2 linked regions of the Stegostoma tigrinum genome follow. The protein of the gene in region 2 binds, or shares a complex with, the protein of the main gene of each other region. Links are inferred from orthologs where the notes say so. Each region holds a gene or a part of one and is shown on either strand. Other genes may lie near its edges.

What was found. Proteins that work in one complex are often made in the same cells at the same time.
Region 1: rbm15b (region 2) and wtap share a complex: the UniProt entries of both Homo sapiens proteins name them as parts of the WMM complex. The link is inferred for Stegostoma tigrinum from reciprocal best matches to the Homo sapiens genes RBM15B and WTAP.

What each region holds. Positions count from the first base shown.
Region 1 is NC_081362.1:33,421,682-33,429,549, forward strand, and holds the start of wtap (pre-mRNA-splicing regulator WTAP), read right to left. Parts: upstream 3,116-7,868; 5' UTR 3,080-3,115; coding exon 3,031-3,079; intron 2,980-3,030; coding exon of another isoform or gene 2,951-2,979; exon of another isoform or gene 2,844-2,950; intron 2,658-2,843; exon of another isoform or gene 2,449-2,657; intron 2,436-2,448; exon of another isoform or gene 2,246-2,435; intron 2,227-2,245; exon of another isoform or gene 2,037-2,226; intron 1-2,036. Other genes in the region: sod2 (superoxide dismutase [Mn], mitochondrial), read left to right, coding at 2,951-2,979, 3,407-3,609. UniProt on the Homo sapiens protein: Associated component of the WMM complex, a complex that mediates N6-methyladenosine (m6A) methylation of RNAs, a modification that plays a role in the efficiency of mRNA splicing and RNA processing.
Region 2 is NC_081364.1:63,276,744-63,284,829, reverse strand, and holds the start of rbm15b (putative RNA-binding protein 15B), read left to right. Parts: upstream 1-5,028; 5' UTR 5,029-5,322; coding exon 5,323-7,875; 3' UTR 7,876-8,086. UniProt on the Homo sapiens protein: RNA-binding protein that acts as a key regulator of N6-methyladenosine (m6A) methylation of RNAs, thereby regulating different processes, such as alternative splicing of mRNAs and X chromosome inactivation mediated by Xist RNA.

The DNA.
Region 1 (7,868 bases), on a different chromosome or scaffold from region 2:
TCAGGAGCACAAAAGCTGACGTTTCGGGCCTAGACCCTTCATCAGAGAGGGGGATGGGGGGAGGGAACTGGAATAAATAGGGAGAGAGGGGGAGGCGGACCGAAGATGGAGAGTAAAGAAGATAGGTGGAGAGGGTGTAGGTGGGGAGGTAGGGAGGGGATAGGTCAGTCCAGGGAAGACGGACAGGTCAAGGAGGTGGGATGAGGTTAGTAGGTAGCTGGGGGTGCGGCTTGGGGTGGGAGGAAGGGATGGGTGAGAGGAAGAACCGGTTAGGGAGGCAGAGACAGGTTGGACTGGTTTTGGGATGCAGTGGGTAGAGGGGAAGAGCTGGGCTGGTTGTTCGACGGCAGTTGGAGATGAAGAGGTCGAGGGAGGGTAGGAGGCCTGGGGGTGGTGTCCAGGTTCGACGGCAGTTGGAGATGAAGAGGTCGAGGGAGGGTAGGAGGCCTGGGGGTGGTGTCCAGGATGCCACAATGATGCCACCCGAAGGTTGCAGGAACAGCAACTCATATTCCGCCTGGGAACCCTGCAGCCATATGGTATCAATGTGGACTTCACCAGTTTCAAAATCTCCCCTTCCCCCACTGCATCCCTCAACCAGCCCAGTTCATCCCCTCCCCCCACTGCACCACACAACCAGCCCAGCTCTTCCCCTCTACCCACTGCATCCCAAAACCAGTCCAACCTGTCTCTGCCTCCCTAACCGGTTCTTCCTCTCACCCATCCCTTCCTCCCACCCCAAGCCGCACCCCCAGCTACCTACTAACCTCATCCCACCTCCTTGACCTGTCCGTCTTCCCTGGACTGACCTATCCCCTCCCTACCTCCCCACCTACACCCTCTCCACCTATCTTCTTTACTCTCCATCTTCGGTCCGCCTCCCCCTCTCTCCCTATTTATTCCAGTTCCCTCCCCCCATCCCCCTCTCTGCTCAATGAAGTCCATGCACTGTTCTTGCCGACTGACAGTGTACTCGCCCCAATGCGAATAAAATCCTCCTAAAGTAGTTCCTAGATTTGGAGACTCAGTACTTTGTATTATTTTGTGCACCAGTTCGTGGCATTTTTGTGCTCCATTCACCTGACCCACCAAGTCTCTTTAGACATTTACTGTATTTAATTTCAGACTATACAGAAGTAGCCAGCTTTATCCTGCAAAGCAATTCTTTCTCCCATGCCCAAAACCTTAGGTCCGTGTCCTTGTAACATCATCTATTAGGAACAGATTTATAAAATATTCCTGAGGAGATTGACAGAGACGCCTGGTTTAGTTTTATAAAGAAAGGATACAACTCATCCAACAGTTTGTGATAAAATAATTTCAGGTGACTATCTCGATGACTAAAAATGTTTAGTTTTTTTTGCATTATTTGACCAAACACTGATTTCAGATTAGAGTGAAATTGGAGATTACAACATCCTTTGTACTCCGGAATCTCTTGATTTTCTCAAACCTTCTCATTTGACAACCATCTTGCGACAACTTCATTTTGTGCCTTTTCACTTCTCAGTAGTGTTCTCAATACAAAGTGCATGCAAAAGGCAACTGAAACAAAAGGCACACTGCGGCAATAGATACTGCAGCGGTCAAAGCTTTTCTTTCTACTTTATTTCAACTTTTCAGAAAAAATTCCCCTTTTAATTATAACAGCCCAATTTGAGTAGCATAAAAGGTGACACACATACAGCCAAGTAAGCAAGCCTTTTCTGTTATCCACGCAAAGGAAAACCTATTAAAGATAACTCAATAGTTCAAACGTAGAATCGGTTACTCTAAGAAACTCTCAATAGTTTCAAATCTCAACGAGAAAGAAAAAGCATGTCTACTTAATAACCACCGTGGCATTCGGCAAATGCCCGTTTGGGAGAAAAAAATCTATAACTCATTTCGGAAATTAATGGCGGCTTCCGCTCTGCAGCATAGAAACGGTTTCCTATCGATCATGACACAAGCTCAATCCTTTCATTTTTGCAAAGGATCGCTATTATACCCCATTTCCGTGAATGTAGAATCTACTAGGCCCAATAACAACTTACCCTGTAACAAACAAGCTCATCCTATCCGATGCCCTAATGGTCGGCATGCATTACCTAGTTCGAGGGCTATTTTTCGAGGTGGTACGAGCAAGAAACACGCTTAGTGTCATTTAAAACAAGTGCACGCTTATAACAAGGAAAGACACTTGCTACCCTCACTTTTAGAAACTCCAGACACAAACTAAAACACTATGTCCAAAAACACTAACCGTGAGCCTGGCTGCAAGGCCCCGGGTGTAAGGAGGGGCTTAGATCACCAGCTCTTCAGAGATGTATGCGTTTTCTGACTTAATCGTCGTTTGGTAGAATAAAAAACCCTAGATAAAATGGCGCCGCGAGTCTCCGGCCTAGCAGCCGCCGAATCCAACTGACGCACTGCCGCGCCCGCAAGCCAGCCGGTTCACTCACTCACCCGACTTCCTTGAAAAATCGAACAGTACCACATTCAACCTATTGAATGCCTATTAATGCTGGGCAGAGTTCAAGCCAACCTAGCACAAGCTGTCACCACGACCGCCATTCACGTCTAAGACGCGTCACGGGAAGGAAACACGCACTTCAAAATTCAGTAGCGGAGTAACACGCAGAACCGCACAACAGAAATAAACCTCTGCTTTGGGTTGTCGGAAGAGCGCTTTTGCTGTGCCAAAAAAATTTGGAGGGATTGTAGTAGGGATGAGTTACCAAGATTCATGCTTGCGATTTTTTAAGAATAAATACTTCCGACAAAATACTTGTTTTAGTTTTGCTATTATTCCTGAATTTAGGTGATTTTTAAAAAAAAAATTCAATTAAAAAATAATGAAATGGTTGGGTCTGAGTTCAAAGGTCAAGGGCGTTGTGTTGTACGATTGCAAGCACAGGTTTTGTGTTTGTGCCTTTCGACGTTGTCCAGCGCACACTAAAATCTGAATATGTTAAACAAACTCAATTATCTTCAAAGGTGAGTGTGATATTTGTTAGTTTAAAAATAAAGCACGCGTAGGGCAGTCACCGGCAAAATCACGCTCATGTCGTTGGAGTAAAGCTTTCGACGTTGACATCGCTTCTGCAAAAATCCTCCCGGAAGGCTGATTGAGTACCGTCTCAACGACTTTTCTCGCTGCCCCAAATCCCTTTCCCTCCCCATCTCCACCCCCGTCCACCCCTTTACTCCGTTTCGCCCTTCCCCCACTTGCTTCCTCTGTCCCTCTCCCCTCCTGTTCATTGTCCCACTTCACTCATTTTCGTCCACCCCGTTCAACTTTTTTCCTTGATAAATATCAGAAGCTTGAAAGCATTTAAAGTAGTTAATGTTTCAAAAGTGAACAAGCATTTGAAAGTGAATATGTTTTTAATTTGACTGATTATAACTTCCATTTTTCATGCAGATGTTACTCCAGCATTTCTCCAGATTTTCATTGTTTAGCCTCCAAACAAAAACACACACTGCCTGATCTTCCTTTTGACTATGGTGCATTGGAGCCACATATCAGTGCAGAAATAATGCAGCTGCACCATAGCAAGCATCATGCTACCTATGTAAACAACTTGAATATCACAGAAGAGAAATATGCTGAGGCTTTGGCCAAGGGTAAGTGTACACAACAAAAACAGAAATTGCTGGAGAAACTGAATAGGTCTGTTCTGGGTTTCTGGACCCAAAACGTTAACTGATTTCTCTCCACAGATTCTGCCAGACTTAGTCAGTTCTGCCAGCAATTCCTGTTTTTGGTCCTGAAGTCTAGCATCTGCTTTTTTCTTTTTTTTAAGGGTACATGAGATCTGTGATTCAACGTATAAATTAGCTGACCAGGGAGGAATAAGTGATAATTCTTTCAAAAATCAGAATGCTTTCGGGAGTGAAATAATGGACTTCGAATACTATTACTACTAAGAAAAAAATGTGCTATATAACATAATGTGGAGCTGGGGAGCACAGCAGGCCAGGCAGTTCTGCCCCATTTCTAAAGAAGGGTCCTGACCCAAAATGTCAACTTTCCTGCTCCTCTCATGCTGCCTGGCTTGCTGTGCTCCTCCAGCTCCACACTGTGTTATCTCTGACTCCAGCATTGGCAGCTCTTACTATCTCCAAAAAAAGTGTGCTTTTTTTAAACTAGCTTTTTATTTTATCTTGCAGTCGACAGGACAGAATCATGAGAATATCAAACTTCAAAGGCCGCTACAATTTATACTGCATGAGAATAGAATGCTAATTGGTTGGCAAACGGTCATGATTGGGTGAGACTTGCCAAGTTTACATTTAAAAAGAACTACAATTAACATTTTCTTTGGGGAGATGTTGCTTGGTGCATTACCATTCGGAATCTATTTGCCAACCATTCAGTATCCTTTCTTCACACAGTATAATTTGTTTCCTTTGACATATGGTATTCTAGTGATTGTACTCAGTTCCGTATGTGATAAAACAATTCAGCAGCATGTCTCATTTTTCCAGGACATCACAAGTTTGTTTTTGTTCCTCCAAGTAAATAATGGTATTAAACTGTTCCACGTTTAGCTTTGAGCAAAGAGATAATGGGAACTGCAAATGCTGGAGAATCCGAGATAACAAAGTGTGGAGCTGGATGAACACAGCAGGCCAAGCAGCATCTTAGAAGCAGGCAGGCTGACGTTTTGGGCCGAAACCCTTCTTCAGAAAATGGTCCAGGGCCTGAAGAAGGGCCTCGGCCCGAAACGTCAGCCTTCCTCCTCCTCTGATGCTGTGTTCATCCAGCTCTACACCTTGTTACCTCAATGAGGAATTTGTGTTTCTTTTAAAGTTGTCAGTGTGCTGCAATGCTGCAGCAAATAACATAAACTGGAACAACAACATCTCATTTTCAGACTAAGCACTTTACAACCTTCTGAAATTAATATTGAATTCAACATCTTCAGATTATGAACCACTCCCAAGTTAACTCAGCTTTCTCTCATCTAATATTGGTCAAGTCAGTTTCCAGGGTAGAATCTAGCTTGGTAGATCACAGGCTGAATCATTTTGCTAAGTCCAGGTTGCATCAAGTTTTTTGGAGAGTTTTTCATTGTAGGGTTTTGTGAGATTTCCCGCCCTATCTTGTTAAACTCAGGGCAGTAATTCCCTTCCCTGATGCTTTCTGTTTTTATTTGTCCATAGTTTGTAAGTTCCTTCAGCTGAGGGAAAGGAGCCCTAGTTTAATAGCTGCAGCTTCAGAGATCTGCTGATTGGGAAAACAAATCAAAACAGTGACATCACTGGTGGCATATTGATTGGTTTGTGATTTTTTTTAAGCAGTGTATACTTTTTGAAAGAAGAGATTAACTGAGAAACAACAGAAACAAATGAAAGTCAGGTCCAGTATAATTAAGAAATATAAATAAGTAAAGTAGGGTAAGGAAAGTACATAGCATGGGAAAGTAAGTTAGCAGTATTCTAAATTATCACAATCTTTTTTATTAGAAAAAAAGAGTTACAAATGTACTTTAAAAAAAGTCACGGCAGCAAAGCTTGCACCTGTGATATACTCCTGCTGTAACTATGTGGCAATCATGGAAGCTTCAGTTGCCCTGGTGAAAATGTGTACAGAAGTGTGTCCAGCCACAGCTATTGGTGATCTGCATTTTGGAGAATCTGTAATTCTGAGCAGGTTGTGGAAAACACATTCAGTGAGCATGGATGACCATTAGACAGAGCACAGGAAGGTAGGAGTCCCCTGTGCCCATCTCACTTTCTAACAGACATACTGTTTTGGATACTGCTGGGGGAAATGATTGTGCAGGGGAAAGCAATGGTAATCAAATTCGTGGCACTGTGGGTGGGCACACTGCACGTGAGGATGTAAAAGGATGGCAGGGGATTCAATTCGATTGTAAGGGGGACATTTCTGTCACCACAAAAGAGACTCCAGAATAGTATAACAAAGTGTGAAGCTGGATGAATACAGCAGGCCAAGCAGCATCTCAGGAGCACAAAAGTTGATGTTTCGGGTCTAGACCCTTCATCAGAGAGGGGGTTGGGGAGAGGGTTCTGAAATAAATAGGGAGAGAGGGGGAGGCCTCCCCCCCCCCCCCCCGACCCCATTTATTTCAGAACCCTCTCCCCAACCCCCTCTCTGATGAAGGGTCTAGACCCGAAACGTCAACTTTTGTGCTCCTGAGATGCTGCTTGGCCTGCTGTATTCATCCAGCTTCACACTTTGTTATCTCTGATTCTCCAGCATCTGCAGTTCCCATTATCTCCAGAATGGTATGTCACCTTGCTGGTGCCAAGGTCAGGGATGCCACTGACCCAGAATACCCTACTGCTGAAATGGGAGGACAAACAGCCAGGGATCGTTGTACGTAGCGGTACCAAAAACATGGGTTGGAAAGGGGACGATGTCCTGAAAGCAGAATCTGGGGAGATAGGAAGTAGATTGAAGACCCATTAGGTAGCAGGGCTGACTTGACAGATCCAGACAGAATGTTCAGATGAAGATGAATGTCCAAAATTAGAAGTGACAGCAAGCGAGTCATATTATAGATTGTTAAGGTGCAGGGAGTTTGGCAAGGTTGAAAGGTATTTATTTTAATGCTTGGTGTCTGATGAACAAGGCAGTTGAGCTGAGGGCACAACATGAGGGTATGATGTCACTGCTGTTTGTAAGACAGCTGCCAGTCTTGATCGTCTGTTAACAATGTTCCAGGTTACAGGGTCTATAGGTGGGACAGGGAAGGAGGTAAAAGAGGAAGATGTTATTTCTCGATAGAACTATTTCAGGAAGAATGACATCTTCGAAGGCTCCTCAAATGAAGCCATGTTGGTGGTGTTTAAAAAAAACACACAAGACCAATCACATTGCTGGAGTGTACTGTAGGCTCCTAACAGCCTGAGAGAAATAAAGGAGCAGATATGTAGGCACATTTCAAAAGTGTATAAGTAGTAGGGTTGTGATAGGGGATTTCAACTTGCCCAAAATTAACTAGAGTAGTCATTGTGTGAAAGGTCTGGAGCAGAAATTCTTAAAATGCATCCTGAACAACTTTTTAAACAAGTACAGAGAGCTCTTTACGAGAGAGGAGGCAGTTCTGTACTTAATTGTAGGGAAGGATGCTGGGCAAGTGGTTGAGGTATTACTGGAACACATTTAGCAAGCAGCAATTGTAAGTCCATTCAAGTCATGATTGTTATGGAAAAGAACAAGGTTGGGCCTGAAATCAAAGGTCTCGGCTGAGGGGTGGATTATTTCAATGAGGTCAGATATGCTTTGGGCAGAGTGTACTGTAAGTAGATACTTGCAAATCCGGCCAAGGACAGTAGGATGCGTTCAATAAGGAAATATGGAGATACAGAACCAATGTGTTTCAATAAAGGGTGAGAACATTAAATCCTGTCAACTCTGGATATTAAGGGATATACTGCATTAGATTATGAGAGAAAAAAAGGGGGCTATGGCAGTAACTGAGGGTTCAAAACAGCAAAACCTTCAGCTATAGAACCTACAAGAGATTGTACAGGGAGAGTGCAGGGAAGTGGAGCTGAAATGCCCATCGGCCATGATTAAACGGCGGAATGGCCTTACTTCCAGTCCAATGTCTTATTAGGAGAGCTAAAAAGATATATGAGAAGACACGGGCACGTATGAAAATCCTAAATTGTTTTCCAGTTACATTAAGGCAAAAAGGATAACAAGGGAACGAGTATGGCCCATTAAGGACCACAGTGGACCCATCGAGCTCTCCTACCCACAACCCCCACTTTCGATGGTTTGCATCACCCATTATGGACTTTGATTGCCTTCAAGTTGGCTAAAATAGGTGTTTTACCAGTGACGTCTATTAGTTTAAAAATAAAATTTAAAAAGTTGTGGTGATTTTGGAGGTGGGCAGGTGTGT
Region 2 (8,086 bases):
GAATGTTATTGTTGAGTTATGTTATTTGAGTTTCGAAATGCCCTGGCCACATTCTGAAGATTTATGAATCAACTTTTAATTAATGTGCCTAACTGAAGTAACTGTGATATTTAGACTATGTATTAAACAACACCTGAGAAGGACACATATATCTATTTACTTTTTAAGACTTACAGATAGCAGTTTAACAATAAATGATGCCAAGAATGAGTTCATAAAAGTGAGAGTAACTTACCTGGACACATTGCAGGGCAATGACAAGTGTTTCTACGAACAGCGAAAGTGAACGCTCTCACAGAATTCTGCATTTCTAAAACAAATCAGGCAATTAAGAGATTACTGGGCATGAGCAGGTTTTTTCAGAAATTCATGCCTAACTTCAGCACTGTAACTATACTTCTAACAGATTTATTGTAAAAACAGGCAAATGTAATATGGTCACAATGGGCACCAAACAGCTTTTGAGAAGCTGAAGACAATTCTAATGAAAGACTTGGTGGTAGTCATCCCTGATCTTACTTTTAAAATGGCAATTGATGCTAATTACTTGTAGGCGAATGTGATCTTGGTACAAGGTGATGAATCAAGAATAGAACATAGAACATTACAGCACAGTACAGGCCCTTCGGCCCTCGATGTTGTGTCGACCTATCATACCGATCCCAAGCCCATCTAACCTACACTTATTCCATGTACGTCCATATGCTTATCCAATGACGACTTAAATGTACCTAAAGTTGGCGAATAGTGAGGCCAATGATGTATTTTTCTAATAAACTGAACCAGAAGAACGGGATTCAAATAGTTAGATAGTTGTTTTTGACTGGCATAGACACAGTGGGCCAAAGGGCCTTTTTCTGTGCTGTAGATCTATGGCTACAACTCCACTGTGAAGTACTCCACTGTGGAAAAGAAGACAACATCCATCATAACCATAAGGAAATACGAATATGCACAGACCACAACTCTTTGTAGAGTGATTTAAAAACTGAAATGCAAAATGATTTTGATGAAGCTTTTTGATTCAAGGGCTGCTCCTAACTATTGGAAAAAATAAAGTAATTACAGAACTAGTAGTGAGAACGTAATTATGTTGGAACGTTCCTTCATAAAAATGTGTCCAGACGAATGGATATAATGTGTTTTAATGTATAAATGTCACGTTTACTTTGTATTGAAACACATTTAGAAACGGTGTTCCATCTCTTCAAGGGTGGAGGCAAGAAATGTCAAGAATTTTTTTTGGAATATAAACTGGGAAAAATGAAAGTTTGAATGCTACTGTGTTACAGAGAATGTGTCTGGTGCTTCTTATTAGCAACTCAAAGGTCAAATGTGAAACTGTATGATGTTCACTTGTAGGACACACAATGTTTGGAGAAAGTGGAGTTTTTGAGAGACAAACTAGCACCAGATGCCTTTGGATTGATAAGCTGCTTAGCAAGAGTCGTTGGATTTTTAAGTTGCAGTCTGTCACAGACCTGAGAAGCGACAGATGAACATAGATTTCCAGCAAGCAAATATGTAAAACTTTCTTCTTCATCCTTTGTACATGAAAAAAAACAAACTCAAATACATTGAAAAGAATAACTTTTTACTCAACAAAGACCTAGATCCAACTGATTAGCTCCCTGAGTGCATTCTATTGCTTCACAACTTTTCATCACCAGGCTTTGCGGGACATTGGTCGGCCACATTTGGAATATCGCGTTCAATTCCATGCTCCTTGCTATACAAAAGATGTTATTAAACTTGAAAGGGTTTAAAGGCTTGAGAAAATATTTACAAAGATGTTGCTAGGATTGGAGCATTCAAGTTACCGGGAGAGGGTGAATAAACAGAGGCTATTTTCCCTGGAGCATCAGAGGTTGAGGAGTGACCTTATTGAGGTTTATAAGATCATGAAGGTCGTGGATAGAGTGAATAGTCCAGGTCTTTTCCCCAAGGTACGAAAGTCCAAAACTGGAGGCCACAGGTTTAAGATGAGAGGGAAAAGATTTAAATGGGACCCAAGGGGCAACCTTTCACACAGAGGGTGGTGCATTTTTGGAATGAGCTGCCAGAGGAGGTAGTGGAGCTTTATAAAATTACAACATTTAAAAGACATCTGGATGGTTATATGAATAGAAAGGGTTTAGAGAGATATGGGCCGACTGCCGGCAAATGGGACTAGATCAATTTAGGATATCTGGTCAGCATGGACAAGTTGGATTGAAGGGTCTGATTCCATACTGTACATCTCTGTGACTCTGTAAAAGCCTAAAGAAATGCAAGGAGGTCACCTCATTTTCTACCGATGCAGTTTGGACTGTTGATCCATAGAATATATTGCTTGTTGCCTGGGTCTTCTACTAATTTTGCAATATTGCATGCAATTTCGGTTTCCCTCCTATAGGAAGGATGTTGCGAAACTATAAAGGGTTCAGAAAAGATTTACGGGGATATTGCCAGGGTTTTGAGGGTTTGAGGATGAATAGACTGTGACTGTTTTCCCTGGAGTATTGGAGGCTCAGGGTTACCTTTTAGAGGGTTATAAAATCATGAGGGGCATGGATAGGATAAATATACAAGGTCTTTTTCCCAGCATGGGGGATTCCAAAACTAGAAGGCATTGGTTTAAGGTGAGAGGGAAAAGATATAAAAGGGACCTAAGGAACAACCTTTGCAGGCAGAGGGTGGTGCGTATATGGAATGAGCTCCCAGAGGAAGTTGTGGTGGCTGGGTATGATTACAATATTTAAAAGGAATCTGGATCAGTATATGAATAGGAAGGATTGAGAGTCTTATGGGCCAAATGCTGGCAAATGGGACTAGATTTATATAGGAAAACTGGTCAGCATGGACAAGTAAAACTGAAGGGCCTGTTTCCATGCTGTTATATCTCTGAGCATATATTTCTGCGGAGCTGTCTATCTAGTCTGACCTATTTGTGATTTATTGTGCACATATTTGGGTTTAAAGGGAATATGATTTAAGTTTGCGATGTTACAGTTCATAATCTGTTTTGCCATTTATTAAATGATGTTTGTCAATAAACAAAAATGTAATTATTTATCAAAAACAACAAGTTGTGTTACTTTCATTTGTTTTAGATAGTAGTCATATTAACCATCTTGGTCATTCAAACATTTGTGATGGCTAATGAACAAGTGGGGTTTGATTACCAGTGTAATCCTCTCCTCTGGGCCATGGAACATTGTGCACAAATAAGGACAAAGGCCTGAGTCAGGGACAGCACCATGGTGTGTGATTTCTGTCCCTGTCTGTAACGGCTGTGATATCATACTGCCGTGATGTTATCTGTGTCCTCATCTCATCTGCTTTGTTTTCTATACTGCTTGCATCAATGAAGATACCCTTAAGCGTTGACAACCTTTTCAAAGAATTCCTAATCTGTTTCCTCTGCTCTTCAGATCATTCACTAATTTTACTAGCAAACCTCTGCAAGGATTTTCATCCTGGACCTGTTGAAGTGCAGACTGCATGGTTTATTAAGTTCCCAGAATTGGTCCCAATGCCCCAGGAATCCAAAGCTCTCTCAACTTGCACCATCTCTCCAGTCATGTACTCATCTGCTCTAATCTCCTACTATTATGCTTGATAGGCTGTGATATTGTGCATAATCAAGAGATTAATACCTTTAAGATCTGTTTTTTAATCTCTTGCTTCCTGAAACTCAACTTTTTTTCCCAAACAGTGTCACTGGAACTCATCTAGATCATGAGCTCGGGCTATTCGCCATGCCTCCTCCAGAATGTTCTGCAGCCACTCAGTGGCATCCAGGAGCCTGGCACCAGGAAGGCAAAAACCAGCAGGGTCCAGGCCCGGAGCGTCAGCCTTCCTGCTCCTCTTATGCGGCTTGACCTGCTGTGTTCATCCAGCTCTACATGTCGTTATCCCAGATTCTCCAGCATCTGCAGTTCCTACTATCTCTGAGGCAAGAACCTGCGTTTGTGTACGTGGCTAAAAAAAAATTGCCTGCTGTCTGCAATAAATACAGAACTGCCTAGATCTACTGGTTTAGCAGATTTCCTCGCAATCCACGCGTAGCTCAGCCACCCATGATACCACGGGCAATCCTCTGGCTGCATGTCCCCTGGACGAACCACCAACCTCAACAGTATTCACAACTGAATACTTAGTTGGAGAGTGGGACACACTCAAGGCAATGTGCGTTATCTGCCTGTTTACTCTTCAATGTCCGGTGAGCACCTTCGTCTTCTTGTCTGTGGATGTTAACTGGATGGTTGTGTGTGTGGGTGTGTGTGTGTGTGTGTGTGTGTGGGTGGGGGTGTGTGTGTGTGTGGGTGGGGGTGTGTGGGTGGGGGTGTGTGTGTGTGGGTGGGTGGGTGTGGGTGTGGGTGGCTGGGGGTGTGTGTGTGTGTGTGGGTGGCTGGGGGTGTGTGTGTGTGTGTGTGTGTGTGTGTGTGTGTTTGTCTGTGGGGGGGGGGGAATGCAATGCAATGCAGTAGTGACGGTTGTTGCTTAAATCCTGAAACACAAGGTCCGAGCTCCTGCTGATGCTTCCTGTGCAGACGGTTAGCCAGGGCGCGGGAAGGATCCTGGAGTTCCCACACCCTCAAGGTTGAGCCTCCGTTACCCCGTCATTGCTTATCAATTCCAGGCCCTGCTATCGCTCATCATTCCACTGGTTCACCGATCTCCCCGTTGCCGATGGAGCCTTGGCCTTGGTTCTGAACCGTGCGCCCACGCGGTCTCTGGGCCTTCTCGGCTTGTCTCCGGGTCTTCACAGGCCGGCGTAAGTGCAACCCTTCGGCCATAATGACGGGACATCGGGAAGGCGTGCGTTCCGCAAGCCGAGGAACAGCGTTCGCCTGCGGTACCGGCAAACAGCAAGACCACCGCACCCTCACCACGCACAGGCCGCTCGGTGTGCGTCATGACGCCACACGCCACGTCCAAGCCCGCCGGGCAGGCAGAGCCGCAACGGCGCACGGCGTGATGGTGTCATTGGAAGCGGTGCGCCCGGACGGGGGTACGCAGGAAGCGGTGAGGTCAGAGCGCTGGGTGAGGGCGAGGCACGGGGGGGGGATGAAGCGGAGCGCATTCTTTCGGCGGGGATAGCGGCAGAGTGGTATCGTTTGACAAGATGGCGAGTGGGGAGCTTGGGGCCTGAAGGGGAGTCCGTGGCGGGTCCCCTTTCCCCGGGGGGCTTGGCGATCGGCGTAAGCTGGTGGTGCAGCCTGGGCCTACCTTCCCCGAGAAGGGCTGGCGGCCTAGCGCGGGGTCGGTGTGAGGAGGAGAGGAGGGAGAGCCGGGTGGTGGTGGGGGTGTCGAGGGGAGGCAGGCCTTGGGCCCGCCATGAAGAGACAGAACGAGCGCGACTCGAGCCCCAGCTCGGCTCCAGGCAGCGGGAGAGCGGCCAAGAGGCCCCGGGAACGGGAGAGAGAGCGGGAGGGCCGGTCCGCCAGGGAGGAAGGTGACACGGGCCGAGGAGGAGGCGGCGGCGGCAACTATCACAAGGCCGGCCTGAGCGCCAAACACCCGGGGGGTCGGAGCAGGAGCCGGAGCCGGGACAGAGCCGCGGGAGGAGGGGACAAATCCAATAGCAACAGCCGCAGGGAGGAGAGGGGGGACCACCATCACCACCACCACCACCATGAGACTGTTAGCTCTGCCAGGTTGCCCACTGCCAGGTCCAGCTCTGCCCAGAAAAACAAAGGTGACAGTAGCAGGCCTGCTGGCCTCGAGTACAAGACCCTGGTGATCAGCAACCTGGGCTCGCAGTTGACGGACGAGGCGGTGGAGGATGGTCTCTTCCATGAGTTCAAGAAATTTGGGGAGGTGAGCGTTAATGCAGCACACACCCCTGAAGGGGGCCGGCTGGCATATGTCCATTTCCGGCACCACGAGGACGCTAAGGAAGCAAGGCATGCCAAGGGCCGGCTGGTGCTCTACGATCGACCCCTCAAAATTGAGCCGGTGTACCCCAAGAGGAGGAGTTGTACTCCACCCGAGGTTAACTTTGGATCTATCCACACTGGGTATCAGTATCGGCAACGTTCTTTGTCACCGGGGGCCTGCACCCTCCGAGACCAGCGGACGAGACATACTAATTATCCCATTGAGGCAGTACCACTGGCAAGGGAGAGGGAACGGTCGTTAGACTATTACGGATTATATGACGAGCGTGGGCGAGCTTACAGCTACCCTGTGCAGGAGGATGATTTGATGCCCGAGGATGACAAGCGAGCCACAAGGAACTTGTTCATTGGCAACTTGGATCACAATGTTTCAGAGACTGATCTGAGACGTGCTTTTGAGAAGTACGGCATCATTGAGGAAGTGGTCATCAAGCGCCCGCCCAGGGGGCAAGGGGGTGCCTATGGGTTCTTAAAATTTCAGAATTTGGACATGGCACATCGAGCCAAGGTAGCCATGTCAGGCCGGGTGATTGGCAGGAACCATGTTAAAATTGGATATGGCAAAGCCAACCCAACGACTCGATTGTGGGTGGGTGGGCTGGGACCCCTGACCTCACTGGCTGCACTTGCCCGGGAGTTTGACCGGTTTGGCAGCATTCGCACCATTGACTATGTGAAAGGCGACAGCTTTGCTTACATACAGTACGAGAGTTTGGATGCTGCGCAGGCTGCCTGTGCTCAGATGCGTGGCTTTCCACTTGGTGGGCCTGACCGGCGGCTGAGAGTGGACTTTGCTAAGGTGGAAGACACACGTTACCAGCAGCCGTACCCACAGGCACCGCTTCCAGTCCCCTTCGAGCTGTTGGCAGATGGTTTTGGTCGGCACCGGAGCCTGGAGCGGGAGGCCAGGACACGTGACCGGACCCCACCACTGCCCCTATATCACGAACGGGAGAGGACCTATTTGGACGGTGACTGGAGCAGCCCGGCCAAGAACCTGGAGCGCCGCAACAACACTGACGCTGTTTCCATCCGTAACCGGGACCGCTGGCTGAATGAACGGGAGAATGACCGCAGTACTGTTGCAGCCAAGCCCTGGGAAGAAAGGCGGAAGCGCCGGAGCCTTTCCAATGAGCGTGTCCGACCTGTACTCTCGCCTTTTGAGGACCGGGTGAGGGCTAAGCCTCGAGGCTCGTTGGAGCTGAGCCCAGATAAAAGGAACCGTGATGCTCGTGGGGCTGATGGCACCACTGAAAAGGAGCAGGTCATCTCTGGCCCTTTGGAGGATCGGCGTCTGCTTGTTGAGGATAAGGTGTCTTCAGATGCCCAGGACTCTGTGCAGCTTAAAAAGAAAGACAGTGAGCGCAATCACAGAACTAGTGAGATCGAGCCTGAGCATAAAGCGAGTATTGATGCTCCAAAAACAGAGACCAAGAAGCCAGCCAATTTGCTGGAGTTTGCACAGGCACTCACACTTGCCTGGAATGGTGTCCTTGTGCTCAAGAACAGCTGCTTTCCCACAAAAATGTTCACACTTGAGGGTGACGCTGCCATTACCCATTCCCTCCTCAAGGATTCTGTAACGGGTGCACGGGTGTCACAGCTGAAGATTGCTCAGCGCCTACGTCTTGACCAGCCCAAGCTGGACGAGGTGACCCGTCGCATCAAGCAGGGCAGCCCTAATGGCTATGCTGTGTTGCTCGCTGTGCAGGCTCCCCAGGGTGCTGAGGGAGGTGATGGCGCTGTGGCTGTGGAGCCTGGTCTCCAGCAGCGGCTGTTACGGAATTTGGTGTCGTACCTGAAGCAAAAGCAGGCAGCAGGAGTGATTGGCTTACCTGTTGGTGGGGTGAAGGACAAGGACAATACGGGCATGCTATACGCTTTCCCACCCTGTGTCTTCTCTCAGCAATTCCTGCAGACAGCCATGAGGACATTGGGGAAAGTGGATGAAGAGCATTTAATTGTGGTAATAGTAAGGGACTCTGTCTGAGAGAGATTACTTCATCAGGAATAAAGAGTAACTCTCTTTGGGACTGCCATTTCAGTTCTAGTGTCTTTGGGACATTGATTGCTAAACCAAACAGATGTGTGTCTGCACCAGACCTTTGGTTGTCTAAGTCTTTACTCTGTTTTTACCATTTACTGTAATAGCCCTTTTATTCCTTTTCATTGGAATTTTAGGCCAGTGCTGAACGTTGACC